Macaca fascicularis: one gene and its partner. The protein of the gene in region 2 interacts with the protein of the main gene of each other region in a biochemical or structural test. Links are inferred from orthologs where the notes say so. Each region holds a gene or a part of one and is shown on either strand. Other genes may lie near its edges.

Evidence for each region.
Region 1: the proteins of CCKBR (region 2) and CCK form a complex in vitro, tested with the Homo sapiens proteins (3 studies listed by BioGRID). The link is inferred for Macaca fascicularis from reciprocal best matches to the Homo sapiens genes CCKBR and CCK.

Annotation. Positions count from the first base shown.
Region 1 is NC_088376.1:105,093,516-105,099,666, reverse strand, and holds the start of CCK (cholecystokinin), read left to right. Parts: upstream 1-2,042; 5' UTR 2,043-2,109; intron 2,110-2,227; exon of another isoform or gene 2,228-2,288; intron 2,289-3,149; 5' UTR 3,150-3,151; coding exon 3,152-3,365; intron 3,366-6,151. UniProt on the Homo sapiens protein: This peptide hormone induces gall bladder contraction and the release of pancreatic enzymes in the gut. Its function in the brain is not clear.
Region 2 is NC_088388.1:59,821,894-59,827,914, reverse strand, and holds the start of CCKBR (gastrin/cholecystokinin type B receptor), read left to right. Parts: upstream 1-2,120; 5' UTR 2,121-2,329; coding exon 2,330-2,480; intron 2,481-6,021. UniProt on the Homo sapiens protein: Receptor for gastrin and cholecystokinin. The CCK-B receptors occur throughout the central nervous system where they modulate anxiety, analgesia, arousal, and neuroleptic activity.

The sequences.
Region 1 (6,151 bases), on a different chromosome or scaffold from region 2:
AAAGAAAGAAAGAAAGAAAGAAAGAAAGAAAGAAAGAAAGAAAGAAAGAAAGAAAGAAAGAAAGAAAGGAAGGAAGGAAGGAAGGAAGGAGAAAGAAAGAAAGAGAAAGAAAGAGAGAGAGAGGAAAAGAGGGAAAGAGGGATAGAGGAAAAGAGGGAAAGAGAGAGAGGAAGGGAGGGAAGGAGGGAGGGAGGGAGGAAAGGAGGAAGGAAGGAAGGAAGGAAGGAAGGAAGGAAGGAAGGAAGGAAGGAAGGAAGGAAGGAAGGAAGGAAAGAAGAAACGAATTCAGATTATTGGGCCCTTCCTCAAGCCCGCTGAATTAGAAGTTCTGGGGATATTTTGATAACAAGGTTATGTTTTCAAATATGTCTTGCCACAGTCACAAATAAGACTAGTTTTCCCAACTGAACTACGAAAACCTTAGCAGGCTCGTGGGGAAACCACTGGAAATCATTTAATCAGCTCTTTCAAACATATTGCCCATAAGTTGCAGAAACGCAGCTGCCTCTCAGGATTAGAAGGTGGAGCAGCAACCGGAGGTGTCTCCGGGCCGCCCCCCGCCCCACCTTCCCTACCCCCGCCTCACCCACTCGACCCCCACACTGTCATCGCCACAGTCCCTCCACTCCAGAGGGAATTCCAGAGCGGAATACGGATTCCGATTTTAAAATAAGCGCTTCTAAATCTTTCTCCTTCCCTCTAAGACGAATGAGGGAAAGAAAGGGAGAGGAGTTGAGGTCCCAAGGTTCAGGGATGCCTGGTGATCTCCAGGTCCCAGGCTGGGCTGCCTCGGTGCACGGAGAGGGCGAGGGGCGCATTGTGGAGCCTTGGCAAGCGCTGCTCTTCCTCGATCCTCGGTTTGCGGTCTGTGAAATGGGTTTCGCAGTGCCTTTGCGGGGACGTCGCGAACTCAAGCGCCAGCAAGCCGATTCGAACTCAAAGGGCTTCAGGGTGTAGACGACCACCGCGCACTGAGGGACTACGGGTCGGCCCGCTCCGGAGCCAGGAGAGTAACCGCGCGCAGGGAAAGGCGCACTGCAGCCTTGGTGCCTCCCTTCCCTCCACCGGACGGGTGAGTGACGACGGGCGAGGTCCTCATCTCCTGGCTGCGCAGCTGAGTTCTGGCAGGTACGGTCCTAGGGGTGTGAGTGTGTGGGCCCTCCGGAAAGGTGGGAGGGGCGAATGCCGTGGTCTACCCAAGCTTGCAGGGGTGCGGTGGGCAAGTTCCCCAGGACCCTCGCTGGCGCCGCTTGTCGGCAGCTGGGAACAGTGGGCGCCGCGGGTGGCGGTAAGTTGGCCAGGGAAGGAAACACATCGCTTTCCCAAGCCGGATTCCTCTGAGCAAAGCCAGATGGTGTCATCCCCATTTTACAGCTGCGTAAAGAAAGTCCCAGAACACCAACAGCCAGCTGTGGCCGGAGCCCTTTCACTGACCCGGAACACTAGCTCTCAGAAACCTGGAGAACTGCGAGGGCTTTTAATGCGGCTGAGAAGAAAGTAAAGACCCCGACTCCTCTCCTTCGAAAGAGCCCACACAAGTATGAAGACCAGTGCCTCGGACGCTCCGGGGTAGGGGGGCCCACGCCCCATCCCTCTCAGAATCGCGCCTTACTGACGCTCAGTCCCGCCCAGTGTCCACCCCCCACCCCCGCCCCAGTTTCCTTTCTGGACCCTCCGGTCCCCAAAGCGAACTAAGCTAGCGGCAGCTTCTCCATCCCAGGGAAGACTCCAAACTCCTAGGTTTCCCACCTTGGAGAGCACTGCTCTGGAATGCGCAGGGGAGCGGCAGCTGGAAAGGGTTGGAAGGAAGCTTCTCGGACCCAGAGGGGGACAGACACCGGGCCCAGCCAGGGAGGGGTTAAATCCGCCCCACTGGACCACCTCCCCCTCTCCCCCAGGAGCCACTTCAACCGGTTGTCGTCCCAGTGGCCACCCTCTGAGCACGTGTTGCTGCCAGTCTGCGTCAGCGCTGGGTAAATACATGACTGGGCGACGCCGCCGGGCGGGGCTATTTAAGAGGCAGCCGCCCTCTGGTCCTCCCTGAACTTGGCTCAGCTGCCGGGCTGCTCCGGTTGGAAACGCCAAGCCAGCTGCGTTCTAATCCAAAAGGTAGGTCCCTCGGTTCGTCAGCGGGGGATCCAAGTGTCGTGTGTCTTTGAAGAATGCTGTCGTCAGCTTTGTGCCCATTTCCATTTTGCTTTTCTATTTTCTGTGTCTTTCCTCCGAGAGCTCGAAAGACATTTCTTGAAGTCAGAAACAACGGTTCCGGGTCTAAAAGTGAGGTCTGGGTAGGTAGAGCTGCTTTAGAGGCTTTCACGCGCCGGCATACCCATTCGCTAAGATTCGCATGCAGATTGAGATTTGCTAGCTGTTACACAGCGGTGCTGGGGACGTTGCAATATTTTCTAATAAAATACCAGAGGGTTTTAAGATTCAAATTCATTTTCTAAATACTGCAGAAAATTTCGAGGCTTTACGGATAGAAATGTGAGGGTGTTTTATCCACTAGCGATCTAAAATGCACGGGGCTTTGGAAGCCTGAGTGCTGGGCACCTATTTCTGATTTTAAAACCTGCCTATGTTTTGCGTAGTGGCTTATTGCCATTTCCCACCTACACTTTGAGAAAACTTTATAAATACGGCTTTATTTATTGCTCCTACATTTTAAACTGTGCTTCTCTTTTTCGTCATTTACTGTATTTCCATATTGAAAGCTTGTTAGCTATCTGGAAAGGTGCTTTCCCTAGGGTTCTCATTTCTCCCACGGAGTCTTCCCTTTAGGATATTTTTTTCACACTATTTTTAATCTCGTGGGGTTTTATTTTTCTTCTTTCAGTTAGAAGAGAGGCACTCTGCAAACACTTCCTCAAACTTTAGGGAAGCAGAAAACATTCCTTCTGCTCAACACGGCAAAAAACAGGGTCTCTGTCTGCCCCTCGGCACTGGGTGTGGAGTTCCCAAAGACCAGCCGTGTGCGCCCGGGGGCGCGCGCCATGGCACTCGACTTGAGCCCTCGTGCTTGTGGCGGCCTGGGGAGTCTGGAGCACCTGTGTTTGTCCTAAGCCGGTTTCTGGGTGCCCTGCCCGCCGCAGGAGCTCTCGGATGCCCAGCCTTTCCGTTAACGCCCCTTCCTCCTTTGCTCCCTACAGCCATGAACAGCGGCGTGCGCCTGTGCGTACTGATGGCGGTACTGGCGGCTGGCGCCCTGACGCAGCCGGTGCCTCCCGCAGAGCCCGCGGGCTCCGGGCTGCAGCGGGCAGAGGAGGCGCCCCGTAGGCAGCTGAGGGCAGTGCAGAGAACGGACGGGGAGTCCCGAGCGCACCTGGGCGCGCTGCTGGCAAGATACATCCAGCAGGCCAGGAAAGGTAAGAATGCTGCCTCCCCATCCCTCACTTCTGCCCTTGTTCCCAGGCTCTGGATGCTGACCCTCTTCTCTAGCGCCGGCCTAATGAAGATGACCTCTCTCGGTAGGAAACAAGCAACATGGTTTCTGGCCGTCCTTTGTAGCAATCTGAGAAGGGGTATGGAGGACTTAATTTATAAGTAAGGGGACCCTTCTTGAAAAGCTTTCTTTGAACTAATTTTTAGCAATGTTGCTGATTAAGTTCAACACCATTTTACCAAGCCATTAAAAGATAATTATTGAACCCTAGGAAAGGGTTCCTAGATACACTAAATACCCTCTACTAAAAACGCAAAGAACCTGGGAGCCACCCAGATACCAACCCTTGGAAATCCTCTAGCAGGAAGGCGTCAATGCTGAGAATGCCTGAGATCTGGCTACAACAGTTTAAGAAAGCAGTGACAATGTGTCCATCTCCACCAAACCATGTAACAGAAGGAAAGAATCAGCAGCAGTTTTGTGTTCTCCTTGCAATGACTTACACATGATTACCCAACAAGAGAGGTATTTGTTTTTACTTTACTGTCGCAGAGATGGTCACAGTTATAGCAAGAGCTGAGCAAGTCATTTTTCTCAGCATCAAAGTCTTTCTCCAGGAATAAGGTGATTCAGCCCCTCACTAGCTGAGTGGCATGCAGGCAGTCCTGACCTGAGGCTAGCTTTCCCCTAAGCTCCTTCCAATTCTTTGTGTGATTCAGAGGGAGGCCCATTCATCTCTTGTGACCCATAGGAATCATGCTTTGGATTGCGGCAGCTTTTTTCTGCCAACTTTATCCCCAGTGGCACTAATAATGAACACTGGCTGTGGAGGAGTGTGCTGAACAGTACAAACACAGCTGGACATTAAAATAATTCAGCAGGCCAGGAGCAGTGGCTCACGCTTGTAATCCCAGCACTTTGGGAGGCCGAGGCAGGTGGATCACATGAGGTCAGGAGTTCGAGACCAGCCTGATCAACATGATGAAACCCCATCTCTACTAAAAATACAAAATTAGCTGGTTATGATGGCACATGTTTGCAATCCCAGCTACATGGGAGGCTGAGGCGGGAGAGTAGCTTGAACCTGGGAGGTGGAGGTTGCAGTGAGCCGAGATTGCACCATTGCACTCTTACCCAACAGGTGTTCCAGGGCCTGGATTTGAACCTTAACCCCTGGCTTGACCAGAAAGGGATAAGATGAAGAGCTTTGGCTCTGCAGAGTTCTCCTGTGGGCTCACATGAAGGGAAGACTGGAACTCTTTGACCCAGAGGCTTCAGAAGGAAAGAACAAATCAGTGATTTGTTGTATTTCTTCCTGTCTTTGGGAAATTGCCCCACCCACTACCTTCTGTTTTGCTTTCCTACTAATTAAATTGAAGAAGATAGAAATACTTATCACATGGAGAGAGAAAGTCTGAAAGCTTTTGAGTTCCTGCTGATTTTCTGCCTGAAAATAATTTAGTGTCTGTCCCCAGATACAGGCTGAATTTCAGCCAGACAAGTCTGAAATATCCTAGGCTTTTCATTGATCTGTGGATCTGGAACTCCCCTCCCCCAATTTGGGAAAGACCCTGTTTTTCTTCTATGTAGGCTGAGGATATCTGCAAAAAGGCCTGAAATGTGCTGAATTGACTCTTGGTTCCAAAATTGTTCTAGGAAAAAAAAAAAAAAACAACTCATTACCACATTATTTCCTAGAACCAATACTAGACAATGGCTCTTAAAGCATAAACCTTAGCTGGAAAGTTTTTCTAGTCCTTCTTCTCAGCCCCCCTCTCCCTTTGCCTTCAGCCAATTGTGCCAAACAAACCCAGGAGAAAATAGCAATCACTTGGAAATTTAGATGCCAACACCTAGGATCAACGCTAGCTAAAAAACAACCAAACTCTTCTATGTGACAAACATGAACTAGGAATAAATACTCACACTATAGAAACTGCACGGTTTCTTTGAATATTTTACATATTTCGAAATCACATCAGATTTTTGCTCCACTATAGTATATATTATGCTTAAATGTTCTAAACAAGACAATGCATTCTTTGAGCAGTGCTTAAGAGTTTATCATTAGGAAATATCTGCAGCACTTTCAATGGCCCAAGAAGAAACAATTCTATTGGAGGGCAGTGGGTAAAGATACCTAGAGGCATTTAGTGGACACCTCCCCCATGCCCAGCAAAGCTTCAATGCTACATCTATATTGTCTCTCTCAGTACAACAGCCCTGCACAGTAAGTATTATTATACCCATTTTGCCAGCGTGGAAGCTGGGGCTCTAGAAGCCTGAGTAACCTACATGTTGTTCCGTATCTACGCAACAGCAGGGCTGAGACTCTATCTAGTCCTGCTCCTCCCAGGAGGGCCTGGAAGCCATTCAGCTTCCTAGCTGTACTACCTAATCCACATTTTAAAGTTTAAAAGAGCTAAACCCTTCAGTTGTAGCAAGAGCCCAGAATGTCACTGTTTTCTCAGCACCAAAGCCTTTCTCCACGAATAAGGTGATTCAGCAGCTCAGTAGCTGAGTAACATGCAGACAATCCTGTCCTGAGGCTCGCTTTCCCCTGAGCCCCTTCAAATTCTTTGTGTGATTCAGAGGGAGGCCCGTCCATCTCTTGTGGCCCGTAGGAATTAGACTTTGATCAATTCCATACATCAGATGTAAGCCTCTACTCTATGTCAGCACTGGGAAAGTGAGTGAGGACCCTGGTAAATACACATGACATTAGGACAGAACTGTAGGTGGAACAGGGAAGTCAGGGTGTGTGATAAA
Region 2 (6,021 bases):
CAAAAGGAGAAGCTGAGCAGTAATTCAGACCCAGCAAAGACCTCAGTCAACCCTATGAAGAGCTCTGGGGATGTGAGCATCTTTCAGAGTTGTCCACCACTGGGTTGAGGGGACTAAACTTTTATACCTCTGCACTGATTGGTCATTGGATATAGAATGCCCAAGAAAGGGAGCATAACCTTGGATGAGCTGGCTTTCTTCTGCTTAGGCAACTCCTGAAGGGTTCTGACAGCTGAGGGCCATCTTTTAGCAGCACTCTCCGCAACTGGAAAATAAATCCTTCATTTTTGAAGAGAGTTCTGGGCTTTGCATCACAGCATCCAGCACAGGGGTGAAGGATCATAGGGGAGTAAGGCATCAATAATAATTCCTAAATTTCTGATATGTACATCCCGATGGGTGCACTTAACGACCGTATATTACAATCATTGGCTTACTTGGGAAAATCCCCACTAGAGTAGGTGCTACTCAGGGGCAAACTATATTGGACAACTAATGCACACCCCTAGAACTGGCATAGTTTGCTAATTAAGTGAATGTTCATCTACTTCTATTTTCACTCCCCTCTCCCTTATGTCCTTTGCTCCCTTCCCTCCTCATCGTACTGCCATCCAATGTGGGAAAACTTGAGCAGGTTATCTGAGGCCTCACCTGCGCTGGAGTTGAACAAATAGGAAATCAAGCTCGTCTGGTCCAGGCTCTCTGATGGGCAAGACAGGCAGTGCCAGGAGGAAGGGAAGGAGGGGCAGTTGACGACATCTCAGGCATAAACTGTCTTTCAACTCTCTTTCAATGCTTCAGCCCCTATAAACTCAGAGCTGGCTGAACCAGGTCCTCTCCAAAAGATTGATTGGATAAAGGCCTGCTGAATCCCCCATAAAGCCAGACTCCATTCTCTAATTTGCTCTTCCACTGATGCCCGCCCCCCACCTCTTACAGCTACTGCTGGGGGTCAAAAGACAGAATTTCACATCGTATTGGAGTTCATCTGGAATCTGAAGAATGGATAGGAATCTGGAGATAGGAATCTGGGGAAGAAAAGGAATGGATAGGAGAATGCATAAGGAGCAGGGCTGAAATAGTAGAAGAGGCAAATCCTGCCCTGAGAAGATGAACCCAGTTCAGTCCTGCACCCTTCAGCCCTGTTCCCGCTGCACCCCAGTGACCCAGTCCCCTTCCAGCCCCCACTCGTGGGAACCTGACACCCTACACAGGCAGCTCTGCCTGCACTGAGAGTAAACAGGGAGCCGTTAGCGTGTCGGGTGGGCGTGGGCGCTGCCTGGAGACGGTGGAGAAAGCCAACCGTCTCCTCCTCTTTTGTCTGCGCTGGGCCGGCGTTAGAATTATATCCCATCTTCACGTTACTCGGGTTTATCCTTGTCAGCTCTTGCCACCACCCCCAACTGCCCTCAACACCCAAGTCAGAAGCTGCCTCCCGGGAGCCCTTTCCCCTGGCAAGCCTCCCCTGGAGCCAAATCCTGGCCCCACCCCCACTCCCGCCCAGCTGTGGAGGGCTCCTTGGGAACCTTAAGTGGAAGCCTGAGTGTTGAGCCTCCGATAGGAGGTGAAGGTTGCGGAGACAGATGCAGGAGCTACCCTAGTCCCGCAGCGAGGAGCTGCAGGGAACTACGGTAGCAATAGTGTCACGGTCACTGCGGTCACTGCAACACAGTACCATAAATGCGGCTCTAGGTGCAGACTAAAGCATCCGCGCCTCAGCAGGTGACGCACGCAGACCCGGTCTCCAACGCCACCTCCACGTTCCCTGATACACCAGAGAAAGATGTTGGATCCGTGGCAGCCGTCTCTACCCAACGCCTCCTACCCTCCCTTCCCCAAAACCTCCCGCTACGCTGCCAATACTCTTGTCTTCTCTCTCTCTCTCTCTCTCTCTCTCTCTCTCTCTCTCTCTCTCTTTCTTTCTCTCTCTCTCTCTCTCTCTCTCTCTGTCATTCCGGGGAATCGAGGGTGGGGGCGGGTGATAAAGAGAGGTGGGCAGGAGAGAAATCTCTAAGAGGAGACAGGACAGATCTAGGGAGGGGGCGAGCCTGGAGGACAGTCGCACAGGGAGGGGCAGAACTCCCGAGCCCGGGAGGGGGTGCACAGTCACCTGGTGGGACAGAGGCTGGCGGAGGGACGGGAACCGAGGCGGGGTGAGCCGCGGGAGAGTGGAAGGGCAGGCGCCTGGGCTGGGGGCGGAGACCAGGGGGGGCAGGGAGGCGGGGAAGGAGGGCGGTGGGAGCCTGAGCCCATCGCAGCGTGAGCAGGTGGAGCCGCGGTGGGAGCCCGCCAGGCCGAGCAGAGTAAGGCGGCGGGCTCCGCCGGGGCCATGGAGCTGCTAAAGCTGAATCGGAGCGTGCAGGGAACCGGACCCGGGCCGGGGGCTTCCCTGTGCCGCCCGGCGGCGCCTCTCCTCAACAGCAGCAGTGTGGGCAACCTCAGCTGCGAGCCCCCTCGCATTCGCGGAGCCGGGACACGAGGTGGGTGCCCCCCTCATCCCCCTCCACAAGCTCTTTCTCACTGTACCCCAGAACACTAATAGAGTCCCCCCACGAGCTCCACACTATCTCCTCAAACGCCCACACCGTGCCCCTCAGCCCCCAAACAGCTCCTCTCACACCTTCACCCCCACAGCTCACAGGTTCATAGCTTCACACCACCTGGTCGGAACTCCTTCACATCCTGGTCCCCTGATTACACCCAGAGCCGCTGCTTGCCCCAAAGCACAGCCCCTTCCCCAACACGCAGCCCCTCCTAGACACCAGTTAGAAGGCGAGGAGCTCCTCTTGCCAACCCTGCAGATCTCCTTTTCCCTCTTACATCCAGTTCACAAAGCCACAACAGAGAAGGGAAGGAAGAAAGGAAGGCAGGATTGGGAAAAGAAGGGGGCTGGTTGAGGGAGGGAGCACTCTGGAAAGCTTGAATGGGAAACCGAAGATGTGATCACATCTGACACCTCAGCCCCCAGGCATCCCAAAAAAAGATCCTCAAATCTGATTTAGGCTGGACACTAGGAGATGCCCCTTAAAACTGCCTGTCTCCATTTCACTCCTCAAACCCCTCTGCCTCCCTAGTTGGAGCTTTCAAGGCTCTGTGCCCTCTCTCTTTGTCTGCAAGTAATGTCTCCAGCTATCTTCCAAGCTCCCTCTTCAGCCCTAGACTAGGTGCTGGGGGTACAAGGCAAACTAGACCCAGTCTGGTCCCTCATGACCCATAGCCAAGTGCAGAGAGAAAAAAGCAAATGGAAAAATCACAGACACAGTGGAAATCCCATGAAAAGGTTTAAACTGTGGGCACCAAAAGAACTTCACAGAGGCTAGAATCTTGGAGCTGGGTCTTGAAGTTGAGTGGGCAGAAAAGGAAGGATGGGATTCTAGTGAAGGAAATAAATTTTTCTAAACTTGAGAAGGGAAAGTTGGAATAAATTGTAATCCAAGTATTTACCCCATGAAATAATCTATGCTTTCTCAGCCCATTTGTTACACACTCACACTTGGATTTGTCATTCAGCCAATATTTATTGAACCAGAGATTGTGCTAGGCAGTGGGAATGTAAGTTGAACAAAACTGACACAATTCCTACTTCACAGAGCTCAAAGCTTAATGGGTGAGACAGACAAGCAGGGGATAGAAGCACAAAGTGGAAGAGCCTTGATAGGGAAAAGATAGTGGGAACACAAGTGGAGCACCTCTAGCCCAGCCTAGCCTCCGTGAGAATTAAGGTTGGCCTCTTAAGGAAATGAGATACAGAGTGAAAAAAATTAGGGAGATTGGCTCTAAGCTTCCTGTTGGAAAAAAAAGAAAAGTGTGTGTGTGTGTGTGTGTGTGTGTGTGTGTGTGTGTGTGTGTGTGTATGTGTGTGTGTGTATATATATATATATATATATATATATATATATGAGAGTCAGTCAAGTAAACAGGCAGAAGAGGCAGAAAGCATCCCAAATAAAAGATGTATAAAAAGCTCCAAGTTTGAATTCATGGCACTTTTATCCACTGTGACATAGTTTTGAGTGGCTACAACATATATCTTAAGAAGGGAATAATGAACAGGCTGGAGACCAGCCTAGAGAGTTTGCAGAGAGCCTATTAGACCTGACCATGGAATGTGGACTTTATCCTGAGGGCAATAGGAACTACTAAAAGATTCAGTAGCACTACCAGGATTAGTTCTATAATGTGGAGAATGGATTGGAAGACATGAGATGGAAGGCAGGGGGGTACTTTAGAAGGTTACTATATTACACTGGTTTAAGTGAAAGATGATGCCAGCTGAGACTACGGTAATGGCAAGGGGGACAGAGAGAGGTGTATAGATTTGAGAGCCTTTTCTGGAAATGGAATCAACAGATTAGAAGCAGAGAGGATGGAAGAGGTCAAGGGATGACATTCAGATTTCTAACTTGGACAATTGAATGGATATTGGTGCTATAGCAATTGTATACAATGAGCAAGATAACAAAACAGCAGAAATAGGTTTGGAAGAAGGAATTATGAATTCAGTTTGGAACCCATTGAGTCTAAATGTTAGTGGGATCATCCAGGTGAGGTTACCTAGTAAGCTATTGAATCCAGGGGTCTGGAACTTACAGGAGAGGTCTGAGGTGGAAATACAGACTTGAAGGTATTTGCCTACAGGAGGTAGAAGCCATGAGAATAGTTAAAATCATAATATTTTGTATAGAACGAGAAGAAAATAAGTCCTGGGTCAAGACTCTGCATAAGACCATTATTTAAAACCCAGGCAGAGAAAGGAGAATTTATGAAGGAGATTCAGATGAAACCGTCAGAAAGGCAGGAGCTATGCCCTTCCAGAAAGCAAGAAAAAGAGAGTTTCAAGCAGGTTGGGGTAAGCGATGTCAAATGCTATTGATGTAAGTTAGATAAATAAAAAACAGGACAGTCAGAACAGCATCTTTCAGATTCAGTAACAAGAAAATATTTAGGAGTTGTAGGTATTGAGGCTTGACTATAGTAAGTTGAAGATTGGGCTGGTGGGAGAGGGAGTTATGAGAAGTGAACCAGGGTATATAGCCAAAACTTTCAAATGTTTGGTAGAGAGAGAGAAAGAGAGAGAGAGAGAGAGAGAAAACCAGGATATTGCCAAAAATAGCATGAGATTGAGGCAGCTGGGTTGGGGTAGGGGGGCGGGTATATGTGTAGGTTTGTTGTGTGTGCGTGCACACATTTTAAAACAAGAGCTTTTAAAAGTGTTTGATGTTGATTGGGCCAAGAGAGGAAGATTGAAGGTGCAGATAAGAAAGGGGATAGTCAATAGAGAAGAGTCCCTGTGAAAGCGGGATGTGAAGCAATTCAGAGCACAGGTGCAAAAATTTGCCTCACTTATCTAAATGCTTCTCACACATTCGGATATTACCCAGCCAGTCAGATGTTACACACAGAGACCCTGTCAGCCACACTCACTCAGATATTATCCCCACAGATGCATATGTTACCCAGGTTCACTCCAATGTTACCAATAGAAATTTGGATGTTACCACTTTATTCTTCTTATATAATCCATGCAGACTTGAGTATTACCCATGTTCACTCAGATAGTACCCACAGAAAGACAAATGTTACCACACTCACTTTAATATTGTCCGAAGTCATTTTGGTGTTACCCATCCATCAAACACTACTCACTTTCATTTTATTATTATCCACACACAATCAGATATTATCTATGCTCACTTAAGTAAGCTTTCCCCAGATACTACCCATAAAATTACAAATATTACTCTCACAGATAATATTACAGATAATACCCACAAAGGCTTAAATATTACTTACATTCACTCAGGTGCTCAGTTATTTCACTTATTCAGATTAACATCTTTTTTTTTTTTTTTTTTTTTTTGAGACAGTCTCCCTCTGTTGCCCAGGCTGGGGTGCAGTAGCATGATCACGGCTCACTGCAGCCTTGACCTCCACAGGCTCAGGTGATCCTCCCACCTCAACCCCCTGAGTAGCTGGAACTACAGGCATGTGCCACCACAAGTGGCTAATTTTTTGTATTTT